Linked DNA regions of Arabidopsis thaliana. The protein of the gene in region 1 interacts with the protein of each later gene in a pairwise test. Each region holds a gene or a part of one and is shown on either strand. Other genes may lie near its edges. The genes, in order: FMA, ICE1, bHLH093 and SCRM2.

Region 1 (5,153 bases):
CGATGCAAGCTCTTTCATGTTTCTTTTTTTCTTTTCAACATAGTATTTGTGTAATATGCACCTACTAAAATACTCCTATGGATCCGCGACTCTTATTCCCGAAAAAGTTCACTGGATTGATCAACGTGAATTTTTACTCCACTTTTTGTTAAAAGTTAAAACGTAACCATCCACACCAGTGTCTTTTTCTTTAAATGTATATGTCTCCACGTACACACACAAATAGTATAGGTCATGTTCGTGAAACTAATTTCATATATTTGACCAGAATATTTTTATTAGAAATCATATTTTATTGACAACACATAACTAATATAAGTGCTTGAATTTGAAATACTATAGAAATAAACTAAAAGATGAGAAGCGTATAGAGATTTGATTAAGTTCACGAAAAGCGGTGGAAAAAGAGCGGCCTTGGCTTGTGAACTCTAAAAACTCAAATCTTATCATTTATGGTTTGACAAACAAAAAAAAAAGATAGATAGATAGAGAGGTGATCAGCTGATACACGTGTGTTTTCACGTTACTTCTTTTTTCGTATTTTGTGGCTCCTCACCCTTACGTCTAACGCAAAAAGAAATAGAGTATTTATTACAAAAACAAGATATGATTTGGAATATTCAATAATCTTTCTTTTGAGTCAATATTGAACTTAATTTTTGTTCAAAATAAGCTAGGGAGTTGCTCTAGATCCCCCATTTCAAATTTGACCGTAAAATTTGGATTGTTATGTGTTTCTATGTAGAAGATAGAGAAGAACTAGATAACTATATATGTAATGATATTTATATATCAAATGGGATGAAAATTAATATTGACACATTATGTGCATAATACAAAGGGATTGATTGAATGAGCATCTTTTGATTAGCCAATCATGATTTTCTGCAAAAGCATTTGGGGAGACATTGAGAACTTCCGACTGCACGGCTTTATCCTGCTACAATTGGAAGCTTTTTTTACTAAGCATTAAGTATCTCTAACAATTATAAGAGGGCAATAATAACATCCCTTTTTCTTTCTTACAAAGCAATAAAAAAGGACAATAGTAACGAAAATTCATTTTTCCCACGATTGATATCTTTTGGTTGTAGTTTTTAGATTTTCTAAAACATTTTATGTGATGGTTGATATTTCTCTACTTTTAGAAACTAAAAGAGAATGCATAGAAAATTGCGAAAAACAATGATGTCTCGATAATTAATGGGAATATGATAGTAGAATAAAACAGCCACTGCAATCAAACTACTTACTACTAATCCTCAATATTTTAGATTAACTTATGTAGATTTTCATTTATCTTTATTCTTTAGAAAATTGTTTTTTTTTTTTTTGAAACATGTTTACGTATCTTTTTTTAAGTCGTTTAATTTGTTTTTATTGGGTCACGAATGTGTACCATTCACACCCTAATTAGTAATTAGAGAAACAAATGATTACGAATATACATACTTAAGAAATTTAATGCCCCCTTGCTATACCTTGTGTACACATGTATAATGTATCTCTCTCTATAAATATGGGAGCTTGGTGATGCTTACTCATTTATGACTTCTCAATACAAAAAGCTCCCCTCACTTTTTTAAGTTTTGTCTTCTCTAATCCGTCTTCTTCTACTATCTTGCATGTCTTGCGTCTTTTATATACATCTCTCGTAAACCCTAGCAAATCATACAAGGTCAGTCCCTTTTATTTTGTTAACTCCTTACTAAACAAAGCTCTAATATATTTGGTGTTAATCATTTTTTTTAATTGTCAAAATTCAATTTGAAAACTTGTTTTGTACATATAAAATACATGTATATGTATATGGTGAAACATGTAATCTGCCTAGGTTTGGTTTTAACTTGTTCTACGTGTGTTTTTGTTTCATGTATATGTTTTTAAAACTGACTGTGAAGCTCATGGATTGTTGTCATCAGGTCAAGAAGCTTGACCTTCATTAGACTTAAGCAGTTTATAATCAACTACCACGAATAGCAATGGATAAAGATTACTCGGTACGTACGTTTTTTTTTCCAGTATTTCAAGATCCTTAATCTCTTTTCTTATACAAATTGATAGATATCTATGTATAAGATTCAAATCTTCCTGCTTATGATATTAACTTCATTCTCCAATTCTGGTTTTTATTAGGCACCAAACTTCTTAGGTGAATCCTCAGGCGGTAACGATGATAACAGCTCTGGTATGATAGACTATATGTTCAATAGAAACCTTCAACAACAACAAAAGCAATCGATGCCACAACAGCAGCAACATCAACTCTCTCCTTCCGGATTTGGAGCAACACCTTTTGATAAAATGAACTTCTCTGATGTGATGCAGTTTGCGGACTTCGGTTCGAAACTTGCGTTGAACCAGACCAGAAACCAAGACGATCAAGAAACCGGGATTGACCCCGTTTATTTCTTGAAGTTCCCTGTCTTGAACGACAAAATAGAGGACCATAACCAAACCCAACATCTCATGCCTTCTCATCAGACGTCTCAAGAAGGAGGTGAGTGTGGAGGAAACATAGGCAATGTGTTTCTTGAAGAAAAAGAAGATCAAGACGATGACAACGACAACAACTCCGTGCAACTACGTTTTATTGGAGGAGAAGAAGAAGATAGGGAGAACAAGAATGTTACGAAAAAGGAGGTGAAGAGCAAGAGGAAGAGAGCTAGAACGAGCAAGACCAGCGAAGAAGTGGAAAGCCAACGGATGACTCATATCGCGGTCGAAAGAAACCGTAGGAAGCAAATGAATGAGCATCTTCGTGTCCTTAGATCTCTCATGCCTGGCTCCTACGTTCAAAGGGTATGATATTCATAAATTATATCTTAAAGAAAGAATTTTCGTGAATGTTTTTTTATATGTATATGTACAACTAATTATACTGTCTACACCAAATATTAATTGTATAAAATAGGGAGACCAAGCGTCAATCATAGGAGGAGCAATAGAGTTTGTGAGAGAGCTCGAGCAACTCCTACAATGTCTTGAATCACAGAAGCGTCGAAGAATCTTAGGAGAAACCGGTAGGGACATGACAACGACAACGACTTCTTCTTCTTCTCCCATAACTACGGTAGCGAACCAAGCACAACCGCTCATTATTACGGGAAATGTAACCGAGCTAGAGGGCGGAGGAGGGCTTCGGGAGGAGACTGCGGAGAACAAGTCGTGCTTGGCTGACGTGGAGGTGAAGCTGCTAGGGTTTGACGCCATGATCAAGATACTTTCAAGAAGAAGGCCGGGACAGCTGATTAAGACTATAGCTGCTTTGGAGGATCTTCATCTCTCTATTCTTCACACTAACATCACTACCATGGAACAAACCGTCCTCTACTCCTTTAATGTCAAGGCAAGTTTATATGTTAAAAAGTAATTCATCATTCATATTCAGCTTTCATATGCAAAATCTAGACTCATCAAATAATACATGTAATTATCTAATCTGGATTAGCTGTCATAAAACACATTTATAATTTTATTTAGGGTTTTCAATATAATCATAGATTATGGATTTGTATTGTTAAAGTATATGTAATAACTATCAATGGCTAACATGAGGTAGATGTAAAATATGTGCAGATAACAAGTGAAACGAGGTTTACGGCAGAAGACATAGCAAGTTCCATCCAACAGATATTTAGTTTCATTCATGCAAATACCAACATGTAAGGATATATATTTTTCTGCTATTTAAATATTCTTTCGATTAAAGATACTTTTGATAAGTTTCTGTTGGTCCCTTAAAACAAAAGTTTATGTTGGTTCATTGTTATCCATTTCACATGCCTTTTGTGTTTTGTTTGTTTTTACCTTTTAGATGTCATGATTATATCTTTTTGTGTGCAATGTGGTCTATCTAATCATCAAGACATCATTACTATGTGTGTGTGTGACTCTGTGAGTGTGTGAGTATATGAGTCTGGTAAAAAGTCTTAGAGTAAAAGATATTGGTGGTTCGATGTTATACATTTTACTATTTTAGATGTCTAGCTTTTGTCTTTTGTTTGTTCTTTTACCTTTTAGATGTTATGATTATTTGCTTTTAATGTTAGATATATATGGTGTATCTAATCTATCATGGTTATTTTCTTTGTGTGTTACATATGGTGTGTATATATATATATATATATATTGTAACATATTTATCACAATATTTGAAGTGTTAAAGCTTGGAAACAATTTTATTTCAGATCTGGAAGCTCTAACCTGGGAAATATTGTGTTTACTTGAAAATCATCACACGGCGACAACTTTGTACACTGGTGAAGATTACAGTACGTAATAATCTCTACATATTGGGTTTTATTCTCCAAGCATTTGGAAGAGTGTTTAAGTTAAAGGGAGTGCTTACTTTATTTTTTTGGGGCTTTTTTCATGCAATTTAAATTTTAGTGATGATTGTGTCGCTTGTAATGTTAGAACTCGTTGTTGTGATTTCTGCTGCTTTGATTTGTAGGTTTTGAACAAGCGGTTTAGAATGCTAAACCACTTATTTACTTGAAATAACTTTTTTCACAAAATAAAAAAGAAAAGAAAAAAACAATGCATGAAAACTTTTCTTGAGGGGAGGGAGAGGAACTATCATTTTCTTGAGATTTGTCTATGAGAAATGGGCCAATATATATACAACAAGAAAACATGAAGAAAAAAAAGGTTAGAAATAGCCAGTTTTAATCTTCAAAAAATTGACCATTCGGTTAAACAAAGTGACGCTTTTACACTTTTTCAAAAGTGATTTGACTAAAGAAACTAAGTGTCAGAATTCAGAAAAACAAATTCATTTAGGAGACTCAAAATGATTGTCTTTAATCTTTCTCTCGTACGTCAACAAAGACGAAACTCTTGTCTTCATCTTCTTTATATATTCACCATTAGCTCTAATCCAAGTCAGATCCGACACATACACAATAAATTCCAAAAGCACTGCTTGGTTTTCTTCTCACACCAAGTAGGTTCGTACGGGGGTAAGATCTTGACAGAGTCCAAGGCCAGAGAATTCCAATTCCAAATCCGTCCAAGACTTGAAGATCCTTTGTTATATAGCTTATATTAATTCATCGAAGGTAAGCAAAAAAGATTCGTGTTTGTCAATCGTATTATTGTGTTAAATGGTAAGATAATCATTGTAATTACTTTTGAAAATGGAGAGAGTT
Region 2 (4,991 bases), 1.1 Mb from region 1:
TGGATCGAAACAAAAAATAATAATGATTTCTCAAATCGAAGTTGAAGAGCACTCCGAAGATTCTACCCCAAATTTTGAAGAACATTGAGTTGCTAGTTGATTCAGCACATTCACCAAATTGCTACCAAATGAAGGATATATCGACTACTTGGAAATAAGTTTTCCTTGCACACTAACCATTACCATTTAATTTGATGGAGTTAAAAATAAGCTTTAAGTTGTTCATATTCATCTTTAAAAAATTTCTAATGAGTAAGTTTATTTTGTTCAAGCCATGCTGGATTTATTGAAAACAAAGAGACTATTTTCATATATTTGCAAAGAAACAATATATTGAAACTGGTGAAATAGATACGTCATCCATTTCATCAAAGATCAATCTTCAAGATTCCTATGTGTATTATAGTAGCTTTAAAATAAAGTAAAACTAATATTGAATTATAATTCTTGGGAAGTGTTTATTATTGAAAATCAAATCATGTATAGCTACAGTAAATAAAAAGAAGTAGATAGAAAGAAAGAAAATGCAGTATAAATTTTTAATCTGTGTGAAATGAAAATTTGCAAAATCAATATTCATGAAACGGATAAAATGCACTACCGTACTTGATGCATAAATAAAAAATGGCTGTTTGTACCAATCCACATGTATTATATGCGTTTAACTAGGATTACCAATATTTTTGACCTCTATCCAATTCACCTTCTGCTCTTTTTGTTCTATCTAATTCCACATTCTACCCAATTTACCAAATTCAATTATTATATGTAATTACAATTTAAAATCAATAATTCATGTTTACTATTTCGCGATTAGAGTAAATCCGAGTTTAAAACCTTCCCAACAACATGTCAAAAACACTTTGAAAGCTTGGCCGAGTCTTAAAAAGTTTGACCGAGTCTTAAATTCAGATTTACTCAAATTTCGAAACAATAAACGCGAATTATTGATTATAAATTACAACTACAGAAATAAATGGAAATTGGTTATTTAGGTAGAATTTTATAGTTTGTATGAAATTAGAAAGAAGATAAAAAATACATAATGAATTGGGCTGAGGTCTACTACATAGTGATCCTAATTGAACCCATATAGTATGGGTGGACTGCAACAAACAGCCCATAAAAAAAAAAAAATTCAATGTTTATTAAAACCTTTAAATGAAGGAAACTAAGATAGATAGCCGGAGAACACGTTTAAATCTCCGGAATCTTAGCCGGTAGAAAAACAAATTCTCTAATAATAAAGCATAAACCAAAACTATATAAGCAAAAAGCCAATTTAAGGCACAAAGCCACAATTGAAACTAACAAAACTTTTTAGAAAATGAATCCCTAATTACTTCCTCTAGAAGACTAGAAAGCATATCGCAACACAACTATATTTTTTTGGGAACTCAATTTAGTTGATAATGGTGATAAACGCTACAATCATCAGAAAATTTGGAATTACTCGTCCTTACTTAATTAATGTTTAAAAGACTTATGAAATTAAACTATTTACTTACAAACTTGAGCTTGATGTGGCTTTGTTCAAGAAGCTTAGGAACCATCGAAAAGATGTCGACGCCGGTAAAGTCGAGATATGCGTTACAACATAATTATTTATAATTTTTTAAAAAAATACAAAAAATAAAAGGAAATATATTTAATAGTAAGAATATAAAATAAATTTTATTACCATCTTTTGAAAAAGAACTTTTAAGTACATAACAATAATTAGGTAATAATATGAGTTAAAGAAATGCATGGAAGACACGCGTTGCATGAATGATGCTAATTACACTTTGAAATTATCATCATCATCATTAACTTACTTAAACACTGTCTATATAAAGACAGAGACAGTGACAACAGAGACAGAGAGATAAGCTTAAGCCAAAATTAAGCAGAAAAATGGAGAAATAGTGACGGTGAGAGAGAGAGAGATACGGTAAACGAAGCAAAGCAAAGAGAGTCACGAGAAATCTGGGGTATGTGTTCAATGATAAAGCAATTTCATGGTGGCCGAAATTGAATCCATCAAAAAAAAAGTTTCAATTTTTGAAAGCTCTGAGAAATGAATCTATCATTCTCTCTCTCTATCTCTATCTTCCTTTTCAGATTTCGCTTCTTCAATTCATGAAATCCTCGTGATTCTACTTTAATGCTTCTCTTTTTTTACTTTTCCAAGTCTCTGAATATTCAAAGTATATATCTTTTGTTTTCAAACTTTTGCAGAATTGTCTTCAAGCTTCCAAATTTCAGTTAAAGGTCTCAACTTTGCAGAATTTTCCTCTAAAGGTTCAGACTTTGGGGTAAAGGTGTCAACTTTGGCGATGGGTCTTGACGGAAACAATGGTGGAGGGGTTTGGTTAAACGGTGGTGGTGGAGAAAGGGAAGAGAACGAGGAAGGTTCATGGGGAAGGAATCAAGAAGATGGTTCTTCTCAGTTTAAGCCTATGCTTGAAGGTGATTGGTTTAGTAGTAACCAACCACATCCACAAGATCTTCAGATGTTACAGAATCAGCCAGATTTCAGATACTTTGGTGGTTTTCCTTTTAACCCTAATGATAATCTTCTTCTTCAACACTCTATTGATTCTTCTTCTTCTTGTTCTCCTTCTCAAGCTTTTAGTCTTGACCCTTCTCAGCAAAATCAGTTCTTGTCAACTAACAACAACAAGGGTTGTCTTCTCAATGTTCCTTCTTCTGCAAACCCTTTTGATAATGCTTTTGAGTTTGGCTCTGAATCTGGTTTTCTTAACCAAATCCATGCTCCTATTTCGATGGGGTTTGGTTCTTTGACACAATTGGGGAACAGGGATTTGAGTTCTGTTCCTGATTTCTTGTCTGCTCGGTCACTTCTTGCGCCGGAAAGCAACAACAACAACACAATGTTGTGTGGTGGTTTCACAGCTCCGTTGGAGTTGGAAGGTTTTGGTAGTCCTGCTAATGGTGGTTTTGTTGGGAACAGAGCGAAAGTTCTGAAGCCTTTAGAGGTGTTAGCATCGTCTGGTGCACAGCCTACTCTGTTCCAGAAACGTGCAGCTATGCGTCAGAGCTCTGGAAGCAAAATGGGAAATTCGGAGAGTTCGGGAATGAGGAGGTTTAGTGATGATGGAGATATGGATGAGACTGGGATTGAGGTTTCTGGGTTGAACTATGAGTCTGATGAGATAAATGAGAGCGGTAAAGCGGCTGAGAGTGTTCAGATTGGAGGAGGAGGAAAGGGTAAGAAGAAAGGTATGCCTGCTAAGAATCTGATGGCTGAGAGGAGAAGGAGGAAGAAGCTTAATGATAGGCTTTATATGCTTAGATCAGTTGTCCCCAAGATCAGCAAAGTAAACACTTACTTTGTCTCTTTTATCTCCTTAAGAGCTTGTTTACTTGTTGCTGTTATAGAGAATTGTTGTGTTGTAGCTTTGTAGGGCCTTTGTTGTTGTCAAACTTTGCATGTAGTTGCTTTACTCTTTTGAGGAAGAGGCTCGTGATAGTGTTTTATGGATTTTCGATGAATTTGCAGATGGATAGAGCATCAATACTTGGAGATGCAATTGATTATCTGAAGGAACTTCTACAAAGGATCAATGATCTTCACAATGAACTTGAGTCAACTCCTCCTGGATCTTTGCCTCCAACTTCATCAAGCTTCCATCCGTTGACACCTACACCGCAAACTCTTTCTTGTCGTGTCAAGGAAGAGTTGTGTCCCTCTTCTTTACCAAGTCCTAAAGGCCAGCAAGCTAGAGTAAGGACTATATTCTGTATAACTTTTGCTTAGACTGGAAAGAAGAAAACAAAGATTCATGTTTGAGAGATTACTCTGCTTCTTTTTCACAGGTTGAGGTTAGATTAAGGGAAGGAAGAGCAGTGAACATTCATATGTTCTGTGGTCGTAGACCGGGTCTGTTGCTCGCTACCATGAAAGCTTTGGATAATCTTGGATTGGATGTTCAGCAAGCTGTGATCAGCTGTTTTAATGGGTTTGCCTTGGATGTTTTCCGCGCTGAGGTGATCTTCTACTCTCAGTTGAAAGGTTAAGGATTTGTAGAACAGTTTTAGTAGTAACATGTTTTCTTTTGTCTATCAGCAATGCCAAGAAGGACAAGAGATACTGCCTGATCAAATCAAAGCAGTGCTTTTCGATACAGCAGGGTATGCTGGTATGATCTGATCTGATCCTGACTTCGAGTCCATTAAGCATCTGTTGAAGCAGAGCTAGAAGAACTAAGTCCCTTTAAATCTGCAATTTTCTTCTCAACTTTTTTTCTTATGTCATAACTTCAATCTAAGCATGTAATGCAATTGCAAATGAGAGTTGTTTTTAAATTAAGCTTTTGAGAACTTGAGGTTGTTGTTGTTGGATACATAACTTCAACCTTTTATTAGCAATGTTAACTTCCATTTATGTTTCATCTTAAAGCTATGCTCAAGAATTTTTTTTAAAGTCTTCATCTTTGTTCATGAGTGAACTTCTCAAAGAAGACAGACAAAACATTTGCACATATACAGACAAAACAGTTATGTTAAAGGTATAGCTTTGGTATTAGCTGATGAAATGAGCTTTGATGATGTAAGAGTGAAGAAAAACATTGAGATTTTTAAGAAAAAACAGAGAAAAGAATGGTGAAGGAAGAGGCAGAGCAAAGAATAGACCCTACCATTTTGTTTGTTTTCTTCTTTAAATGCTTACTTAATGTTTTAAGAACTTTTATATACGTTGTATGTATCCGTACAAAAGAAAGATTTAGAGAGATAGAGAGGAGACATAGTTAATGGCGGTTAGAGATAGAAAGAGAGAGTCACGAGAACGTAGAGGATGTGATGAAGAAACGTAAAAGTGGTAGGTCCTTTGAATCTTTTAAAAACCTAACCTTTTTTATAGGGTTTTAATTTAGCTTCTCTGAATTTTTCTATGATTATAATGCATGTAGTAATGAAGTCCTCGTGATTCTAGTTTTTAGTGATGTCCTCTTGATGATCCAAGCCGTTTGGTACTTCTTTTTTTT
Region 3 (4,756 bases), on another chromosome or scaffold:
TTAACATTAGAATAACTTGAGTCCATCATAACTTGGTTTAATAGTTTTTTTTGGTTGTGATGTTACGCCACAAGCACAAATTCTGGGACCTTTATATTGTGTGTATAAATGATATTTGAATACAGAAATTAATATTTGTAGAGATTCATCAATGATATATTTGCTTTTGTTTTTTGTTCATCATTAAATCAAAGATCTTCGTTTAATAAAACTTGTGTTTCATATTTTTAAATAATTTATAATCCAGATATATTGTACTATATACACCCACACATGTATAATATGAATGTGAATGTTGAATTATAGATTGAAAGTGAGTGAACTGAAAGGACGAGAGAGGCCTAAGACAGTTTGTTTGTTTTCGTGAACATGGAGCTTCTCTTTACCATGTGCTCTCGATCTTTTTATTATTAATCTTACTTTTATTTACTTTTTTCACATTTTGTTTTTATACGGTTTTTTATATGAGAATGGCACTGAAGATGGAGCAAGAAGTTCACATGCAAACATAAAATATTACACATAAAAAAATTGAAAAGCTACATTCTAGGCATATGCGTGATTTTCCAAGGATTTTTGTTTCGTATAAATAATATTAGCAGTCAAAGTAGCTAGATTTGCTTCTATAAATATACTTTCAAATTTCACCCCTTTACTTTCAGATTTGTCAATTTACGCCCCGAAATGGTGCCCTTGATAGCAAACAATTATACAGTACTACTATGAGAACGAGAATATATCTTTAAAAATTCGAAAAGCTCCAATATTTTCGGTCATTAGTTCATAACTTCATCATATTCATAACAATTACCGCGAATAGCCCATCCAATTATTATAAAAATTTTGACTATGTAAAAGCGTTAATCAAAAGAATAAACGTCATATCAAACGTAAGACAAATGTGAACACATATGACAATTATTAATAGGCCTACACTTGAAAAAATGAGATTACTATTCACAAACATTACCTTGATTTAAGGGTCAAATTGAAATTAAAAAAAAAACAAGTGATGCTGAATATAAAATTAAGGCAAGATCTAGACGCAATTTAGTAGAATATGCGTACACAATAGATAATTACGTACGCCTGTGTATATACGATTAATTCCCTCTCAATAATAGTTCATCATTATTATGTAAAATATAATTATAAAAATATATATGGCAGACAGAAAAATAAAGAAAGCAAGAGGGGTAGACAAATGTTCATCCGTTTTCGTCGAGACATGAAATTTGTGGGATCAAAGCAATCCTGTAAGGAAAGGGAATTAATCAATGTATATTACTCTCTTTTTGTTTGTTTCTCAATTAGATGAATACATTTTTCATTTATATAATAACTAAGACCTAAACTCTTGAGTCCATTACTCCATTTCCCCTTTGTTTTTTTCCAACACTTCGAAACACAGATGTGCTAGATTATATATGATCACCTAATGCATGATTTATATATAATATATGAAAAAGTAATATAAAATAGCCAGAAATTTAATCTTGTTATGAAAAATTGAAAATGATTCGAGTAAACACCTAGATGGTCATTTTAGACTGATATAGTAATATCTCAATGTATCATGGTATTTTTTTCGATGGACGAATCTGTCTACATACAATGCACGTATACATGGATGTTAGAAACCGCAACCTCTAGAACTATATGACACACGAATTGCAGAACTTCTAAAAGTTTTACTGCAGTAAAATATCAATCATTAAACCAAAAAGTCTCCTATAAAAGAAATTTGATTATTGATTATATGATTTTGAGTGAAACTTTCTTAGCAGTTAGCAGTACCTTTTCTTTTTTCGTAGGCTAAACTTACCAAAATAAAAACTACATCGGTTCATGTCAAGTCTTGTAATATATAGCTAATCTAGTACTAGCTATAGGCTACAGCAAACAAAAATGTTTTTATTATTTGTCACGAGAAAACAATAAAATGTGTTATCAAACTAAATAAAAACCATATATTATACTAATCACAAATTAAACGGGAATCTTTTATTTAATTAATAGTATACTCTCTCACACAGACAGACATCTCTGGATTTATATATAAATACAGTTCATCTTCTTTAATCCACAAACTCACACACACACACACACACTCTGTTTTCTTCGTCCATTCTATTACCAGAAAACAGAGTTTGATAGAGAGAAAAGAATGGAACTGTCGACTCAAATGAATGTGTTCGAAGAGCTTCTTGTTCCGACAAAGCAAGAAACAACCGACAACAACATCAACAATCTGAGCTTTAATGGCGGATTTGATCATCATCATCATCAATTCTTCCCAAATGGATATAATATTGATTACCTCTGTTTCAACAATGAAGAAGAAGACGAAAATACCCTTTTGTATCCTTCTTCTTTCATGGATCTAATCTCTCAACCTCCTCCATTGCTTCTTCACCAACCGCCACCGTTACAACCACTGTCGCCGCCGTTATCCTCCTCCGCGACCGCCGGAGCAACATTTGACTACCCTTTTCTTGAGGCTTTGCAAGAGATAATTGACTCTTCTTCCTCATCGCCTCCATTGATCCTTCAAAATGGTCAAGAAGAGAACTTTAATAATCCGATGTCGTATCCCTCTCCATTGATGGAGTCTGATCAGAGCAAGAGCTTCAGTGTTGGTTACTGTGGAGGAGAGACGAACAAGAAGAAGAGCAAAAAGCTTGAAGGCCAACCTTCTAAGAATCTCATGGCGGAGAGACGACGGAGAAAACGACTTAACGATCGTCTTTCTATGCTCCGATCCATCGTCCCAAAAATCAGTAAGGTAAATTACAAAATGCTAATCTTTTTTTTCTTTCAAACCATTAATAATAATTGTAGTCAAAATCAGCAAAAGATTTGATCATTTTTTTAATGAGTAGGTTAATGACTGTATTATTATATGTGTTCATAAAGAAAATGACCTTTTTAATCTTCTTGATTTACCTCAAAATCTAACCCTAGCTAAGGTTTTTGTGTTCTTTGAAGATTTATTTAACATTTAATTCAAAAAATTGGTCTCAGGAAAATCAACAAAAGATTCGTCCTTTTAAATGAGTGAATTAGTTATAAAATTGGTTTCAAATTCAGCCTTTTGTATTTTAACATTATGTGTTTGTTTCTTCTTTTTTGAAACCTTAGTTTTCTTCTTCAAGATTGTTTAATTATTGTGTTCTTACTTTTAAGGGAATCTACAGAACCGGCTGAAAAGTGATAAATCATTTAAAAGTGTTTTAAAATAATGATTATTGGTATGTTCAAAAAAATCAGATGGACAGGACATCGATATTAGGAGATGCCATAGATTACATGAAAGAGCTTTTAGACAAAATCAACAAATTACAAGATGAGGAACAAGAACTTGGAAATAGCAACAATTCACATCACTCTAAGCTCTTCGGTGATCTCAAGGATCTTAATGCGAACGAACCTCTGGTCAGAAACTCACCAAAGGTACAAAGATATTTTACATTGCTCTTGTTTTTTTCCTTCTACATATTAGCCCTTGTATTTATGAATTGTTATAAACAAACCCCCTGTCTTTTTAACAAATCTTTTTGTAATTCTGTTTATGTTTTGCATAGTTTGAAATAGATCGTAGAGACGAGGATACTCGAGTTGATATATGCTGCTCGCCAAAACCGGGATTGCTACTATCTACTGTGAATACATTAGAGACTCTAGGCTTGGAGATTGAACAATGTGTTATAAGCTGCTTTAGTGATTTCTCTTTGCAGGCTTCTTGTTCTGAGGTATCGATTTAATATAAAGTATTTATGCATGGAATGTTAATTATATAGTATTCGTAATGATAATATTGATGAGTTTTGTTGTATATATGTTTATAGGGAGCTGAGCAGAGAGATTTCATAACATCAGAAGATATAAAACAAGCATTATTCAGAAACGCAGGTTATGGTGGAAGCTGCTTGTAATGAGTCATGATTGAAACTAATAAACCAAAACTATTGTTTATTTCTAATAATACTAGCGCTTATAAACTTTAGATGTTGTTTTAATTCCCTTGTGAGTTTGGTTTTTTTTTCCTAGGGGAAAACATTATGAGTTCAGTTGTATAAACAAAAGAAGGAAATTTAAAAAGAGATGTTTCTCCTAAATTATATCAAAGAACAAATTGAGATATAAAATAAAAGGTTATATTATGTTGCTTTGAGGGAAATAAACCACTTCGATAATTGAAATTAGGGTTCGTATATGACAGTGACCGATGTTCGAAGGATGCATCATCAAATAAAAAAGCTGTATTAATCAAAAAGTTATAAAGGCTAATCATAAGCGTGATTATAATGTTAATGACTGTGCCTCCACCAATCAACGCATTCATCATTACTGCGGCACTTACGTCAACGAATTAATCTTTTATCGATAAAATTCCAAGAGGCCCTAACTTAGGCTTAATCAATTATTGGGCCTATAAAGAACGGCAACTGATGTAGATCCAAATGGGCTTTATTTAGTAAGCCCAAACTTTATGTTTTCTCTTATATCTTCCTGCTCTGTTATTAGAAAGAATCTCCGATTTAGATAGAAACAACAATCCTCCGGTGGTCACTCGCTAATCTCCGTTTGATCTCGCCGACACTCGAGCCTTTTACCGATGAAGGATGGAGATTCCTTACCAATAAGCACTTCTTCCGTCGCGGCGACGACGGTGACCGGAAAGAAGGAAACCGGTTATTCCGCTCTCTTCTCGAAAGGCCGGTACAAGTTTTGGGCCTTAGCTGCGATTCTGTTA
Region 4 (4,803 bases), on another chromosome or scaffold:
CATCATTATCACAACGAAAGAGAAGAAGAATACCTAGAGGAAGAGGAAACGAGAAGGCAGTGTTTGCACCATCATCACTACCAAACGATGTTGTAGAGGAAATCTTCTTACGACTTCCGGTGAAAGCAATAATCCAACTAAAGTCTCTCTCAAAACAATGGAGATCGACGATCGAGTCTCGCAGTTTTGAAGAGAGACACTTGAAGATCGTCGAGCGATCACGCGTGGATTTTCCACAGGTCATGGTCATGTCTGAAGAATATTCCTTGAAAGGAAGTAAAGGTAATCAGCCTCGTCCAGATACAGACATTGGTTTTAGTACAATCTGTTTGGAATCGGCTTCTATTCTGTCCTCCACTCTTATCACTTTCCCTCAAGGATTTCAACACCGGATCTATGCTTCTGAAAGCTGTGACGGACTTTTCTGCATCCATTCCCTAAAAACACAAGCCATATATGTAGTTAACCCGGCCACTCGGTGGTTTCGACAACTTCCTCCGGCTAGGTTTCAGATTTTGATGCAAAAGTTATACCCCACTCAAGACACTTGGATTGACATAAAACCAGTAGTCTGTTATACAGCATTCGTGAAGGCCAATGATTACAAATTAGTGTGGTTGTATAATTCTGATGCCTCGAATCCAAACCTGGGAGTTACAAAGTGCGAGGTTTTTGATTTTAGGGCAAACGCTTGGAGGTACTTGACTTGCACTCCAAGCTATCGGATATTCCCTGACCAAGTACCAGCAGCTACAAACGGGTCTATTTATTGGTTCACGGAACCATATAATGGCGAAATAAAAGTGGTAGCTCTCGATATTCACACTGAAACGTTTCGTGTGCTACCTAAGATTAATCCGGCCATTGCTAGTTCAGATCCTGACCATATCGACATGTGCACTTTGGATAATGGTTTGTGCATGTCGAAAAGAGAATCGGATACGTTGGTCCAAGAGATATGGAGGTTAAAATCATCAGAAGACTCATGGGAGAAGGTTTATACCATAGATTTGCTTTCTTGTTCTTCTTCTTCTTTATCTGAGTTCCGCGATGGATTTAATTGGACACGAAAAGATTTGGTTGAGCCATCCACACCAGTGGCGATATGCAAGGACAAGAAGATTCTGCTCTCACATCGCTATGCCCGCAATATGATCAAATACGATCCCCAAATAAAATCTATCAGTTTAATTTACCAACCTCCTTTGTGTAGAAGATATGCTTCTTATTTTCAGAGTTTGATCTCTCATATATAAAATGCTTTGATGTATTTGGAAGCATGTAATGTAAGAAACAAAGCATTAATTGTTTGGATTGTTATATTATCCGATAGCATGCTGTTATTCATAAATCATAATAAACCATACTTATTTCGCCAAATGACACTATACTTACCAAAAATCATACTACTTTATGAAATGATACAGATTTTTCAAAAAAATGAGGACGAGTATTTTCGTTAATCCACACAAAAATCAGTTTCATTCTGTGTGTGGATGTAAAAGGAAGATGAAATATAGATTTTATCTTAAAGGGACCATTGCCTCGTTGTTAAAAAAAAGGGACCATTGCATCCGACATCTTTTATCCGTATTAATCTTGAAATGTTTATTCAATATACTTTGTTGCAAGATTTTTTTTTATTCAATATACTTTTGTTATTCATGTCAAAAAAAATTTGATTAATAGCCAATCTATGTAACAATCTAAACACAAGTTTGCCGCTACAATTAATATGAGTCTATGACACACATCACAAAGTTTTGAGAGATTAAAATTCTTTAGTCCCAAATACTTCAAATATAGAAAAAAACTACAATTTTTCTTTTCAAAATTTGTTTATTTTACGGTGACAATTTTTATGATTGCCAACCAAATCCCACATTATTAAGTTTTTCAACCAAACTGAACTGTATACTTATTTTGATTATTAACGGTCGGATTTAGCTTTAACTAAATCATCTTCCTAAGCTCTATCACTGAAATAATTCTGCAGACAAAAAAAAATGAGAGAGAGGTGGCAAAGATGAAGTGGAGGTGAGAGACGGAAAGCAAAAACAATAGTCACGAGAATCAACACCAACTCTTAAACCAAGATAGACCAAGAAACCAAACAGAGTAAATAAATGGTGGCCTTGACAACATTGAAATCCCCAAAAATCTCAACTTTTTAGGGTTTTCGAGCTCTGAAATCTCTCTATCTTTCTTCTTCAGATTTCTCACTTTTTTCTTCTTCATAAGATCCTCGTGATTCCACTTTATAACGTACGCCTCCTTTCAAGAAAAATCTCTCTCTATATTATCTACGTTTCTCTCGCCTTGTCTCCTTTTGAGGTTCCATTTCTACTTCTCTCCAAAATTCGAAACTTTTCCCACTCTCTCTCTCTCTCTACTAGTTTGACATGAACAGCGACGGTGTTTGGCTTGACGGCTCCGGTGAATCTCCGGAAGTTAATAACGGTGAAGCTGCGTCTTGGGTCAGAAACCCAGATGAAGACTGGTTCAATAACCCACCACCACCACAACACACTAATCAAAACGACTTCAGATTCAATGGTGGCTTTCCTTTAAACCCCTCAGAGAATCTGCTTCTTCTTCTTCAGCAATCGATTGATTCTTCTTCTTCTTCTTCTCCGTTATTACATCCTTTCACACTCGACGCTGCTTCACAGCAACAACAACAACAACAACAACAACAGGAACAGTCTTTCTTAGCTACGAAAGCTTGTATAGTTTCTCTTCTCAACGTCCCAACCATCAATAACAACACTTTCGATGACTTCGGCTTTGACTCTGGTTTCTTAGGACAACAATTCCATGGAAATCATCAATCTCCGAACTCGATGAATTTCACTGGCTTAAACCACTCAGTACCGGATTTTCTTCCAGCTCCGGAAAACAGCTCAGGATCATGTGGATTGAGTCCTCTGTTCTCAAACAGAGCAAAGGTTTTAAAACCGTTACAGGTAATGGCTTCATCTGGCTCGCAGCCAACTCTGTTTCAGAAACGAGCTGCAATGCGTCAGAGCTCGAGTAGCAAAATGTGCAATTCTGAGAGTTCTTCTGAAATGAGGAAATCGAGCTACGAGAGAGAGATTGACGATACTAGTACCGGAATCATCGATATCTCTGGATTGAATTACGAATCTGATGACCATAATACTAATAACAACAAAGGTAAGAAGAAAGGAATGCCTGCAAAGAATCTTATGGCTGAGAGAAGAAGAAGGAAGAAGCTTAATGATAGGCTTTACATGCTTAGATCAGTTGTTCCCAAGATCAGCAAAGTAACCAAAAAGATTCTTCCTTTTTTCTCTTTGTTCTCCTTAATAACTTCTTGTGTCACTAATTTTGGGTTGCAAATGTAGATGGATAGAGCATCAATACTTGGAGATGCTATTGATTACCTCAAAGAGCTTTTACAAAGAATCAACGATCTTCACACCGAACTTGAATCTACTCCACCGAGTTCTTCAAGCTTGCATCCGTTAACACCGACTCCACAAACGCTGTCTTACCGTGTTAAGGAAGAGTTGTGTCCATCTTCCTCCTTGCCAAGTCCTAAAGGCCAACAACCAAGAGTAAGAATAAGCTCAATTGCTTTCTAGTGGACAAAGCTGTATTCTTTAATTTTCTTAGTAACGCTTCTTTGTTTTGATATAGGTTGAGGTTAGATTAAGAGAAGGAAAGGCAGTGAACATACACATGTTCTGTGGACGTAGACCAGGTCTTTTACTTTCCACCATGAGAGCTTTGGATAACTTAGGATTGGATGTTCAACAAGCGGTGATTAGCTGTTTCAATGGTTTTGCTTTGGATGTTTTCCGCGCTGAGGTAATATAGTTGTTAAGATGCTATGCTGATCACTGATTAGTAAAACTAGCAGTCAAAGAATAGTTATTTGAGAGAATGATTAGTATACAAGTAACAACATGTTTTGTGTTTCTAATCAGCAATGTCAAGAAGACCATGACGTGTTACCTGAACAAATCAAAGCAGTGCTTTTAGATACAGCAGGTTACGCTGGTTTGGTTTGATTGCGAAGCAGAAGGAAGCATCTGTGTGGAACAGAGCTAGATCTAAGTCCTTGTTCTGTTTTAGTCAGCAATTTTCTTACTTAGTTTCATCAATTTCAATCATGTATGGAAGATGATAACTGTTTTATTTTAGCTATGAGAACATGTGTTTGGGGAACAATAGTTGCAACCTTTGAGCAAAATGCCATTGTTTCTCAATAATTCTACTTTGCTTTTCATTTATATGTTGTTTGCAAGAAGAGAGCAATGTTGATTTTCATTGATAAAACACACATGAGTCTGTCATGAGAAAAGGCTAAACAAAATATTAAGAAATGCACAATTCATAGGCAAACGCTCTGATATATCAATTTTTCAGAACAGAGATGAATCTCTATGTAAAATTCATATTCTTTATAAATGTCTGAGCTTGGTTCAGTTTAGTAAGATTTGGTTTGTGCCGTGGGCGACTGAAGATGTTAAAGACAAAAACATAATGGAACCAGATAAACTTGGCTAATTGGTAAGAATTAAAAGAAAATCTATGGTATAAATCTTCTCCCATGTGTCTTCTGATGATTTCTTCAGCCTCCAAATATTTTGGATCAGCTTATCTCCTTCTCTTTTCGACATGCACAAAGCATTATCCAGAGTGTATATATGGCTAGGATCTAAACTAGCAATAGCGGGAACTATCTTTGGCAGCAACCGGAATTTTTCTGTAATGATATCGAAAACTATTACTTTGATTTCAGCATTATATAGCTCTGTGAACCAATAAAGCGTC

Evidence for each region.
Region 2: the proteins of FMA (region 1) and ICE1 interact in a two-hybrid assay, tested with the Arabidopsis thaliana proteins (one study listed by BioGRID).
Region 3: the proteins of FMA (region 1) and bHLH093 interact in a protein complementation assay, tested with the Arabidopsis thaliana proteins (2 studies listed by BioGRID).
Region 4: the proteins of FMA (region 1) and SCRM2 interact in a two-hybrid assay, tested with the Arabidopsis thaliana proteins (one study listed by BioGRID).

What each region holds. Positions count from the first base shown.
Region 1 is NC_003074.8:8,714,602-8,719,754, reverse strand, and holds FMA (basic helix-loop-helix (bHLH) DNA-binding superfamily protein), read left to right. Parts: upstream 1-1,543; 5' UTR 1,544-1,678; intron 1,679-1,922; 5' UTR 1,923-1,982; coding exon 1,983-2,000; intron 2,001-2,136; coding exon 2,137-2,802; intron 2,803-2,914; coding exon 2,915-3,349; intron 3,350-3,579; coding exon 3,580-3,665; coding exon of another isoform or gene 3,666-3,669; exon of another isoform or gene 3,670-4,190; coding exon 4,191-4,230; 3' UTR 4,231-4,637; downstream 4,638-5,153. UniProt on the Arabidopsis thaliana protein: Transcription activator. Together with MYB88 and MYB124, ensures that stomata contain just two guard cells (GCs) by enforcing a single symmetric precursor cell division before stomatal maturity. Together with SPCH and MUTE, regulates the stomata formation.
Region 2 is NC_003074.8:9,832,118-9,837,108, reverse strand, and holds ICE1 (basic helix-loop-helix (bHLH) DNA-binding superfamily protein), read left to right. Parts: upstream 1-1,836; 5' UTR 1,837-1,973; exon of another isoform or gene 1,974-2,220; 5' UTR 2,221-2,318; coding exon 2,319-3,323; coding exon of another isoform or gene 3,324-3,410; exon of another isoform or gene 3,411-3,505; coding exon 3,506-3,730; intron 3,731-3,822; coding exon 3,823-3,993; coding exon of another isoform or gene 3,994-4,023; exon of another isoform or gene 4,024-4,072; coding exon 4,073-4,156; 3' UTR 4,157-4,442; downstream 4,443-4,991.
Region 3 is NC_003076.8:26,234,970-26,239,725, forward strand, and holds bHLH093 (beta HLH protein 93), read left to right. Parts: upstream 1-1,994; 5' UTR 1,995-2,167; coding exon 2,168-2,785; intron 2,786-3,270; coding exon 3,271-3,453; intron 3,454-3,584; coding exon 3,585-3,752; intron 3,753-3,848; coding exon 3,849-3,935; 3' UTR 3,936-4,250; downstream 4,251-4,756. Other genes in the region: AT5G65650 (sugar transporter, putative (DUF1195)), read left to right, coding at 4,619-4,756. UniProt on the Arabidopsis thaliana protein: Transcription factor. May be involved in the differentiation of stomatal guard cells.
Region 4 is NC_003070.9:4,382,356-4,387,158, forward strand, and holds SCRM2 (basic helix-loop-helix (bHLH) DNA-binding superfamily protein), read left to right. Parts: upstream 1-1,948; 5' UTR 1,949-2,402; coding exon 2,403-3,287; coding exon of another isoform or gene 3,288-3,368; coding exon 3,369-3,581; intron 3,582-3,663; coding exon 3,664-3,834; coding exon of another isoform or gene 3,835-3,843; exon of another isoform or gene 3,844-3,953; coding exon 3,954-4,037; 3' UTR 4,038-4,296; downstream 4,297-4,803. Other genes in the region: AT1G12855 (F-box family protein), read left to right, coding at 1-1,256; AT1G12870 (F-box and associated interaction domains-containing protein), read right to left, coding at 4,774-4,803. UniProt on the Arabidopsis thaliana protein: Mediates stomatal differentiation in the epidermis probably by controlling successive roles of SPCH, MUTE, and FAMA. Functions as a dimer with SPCH during stomatal initiation.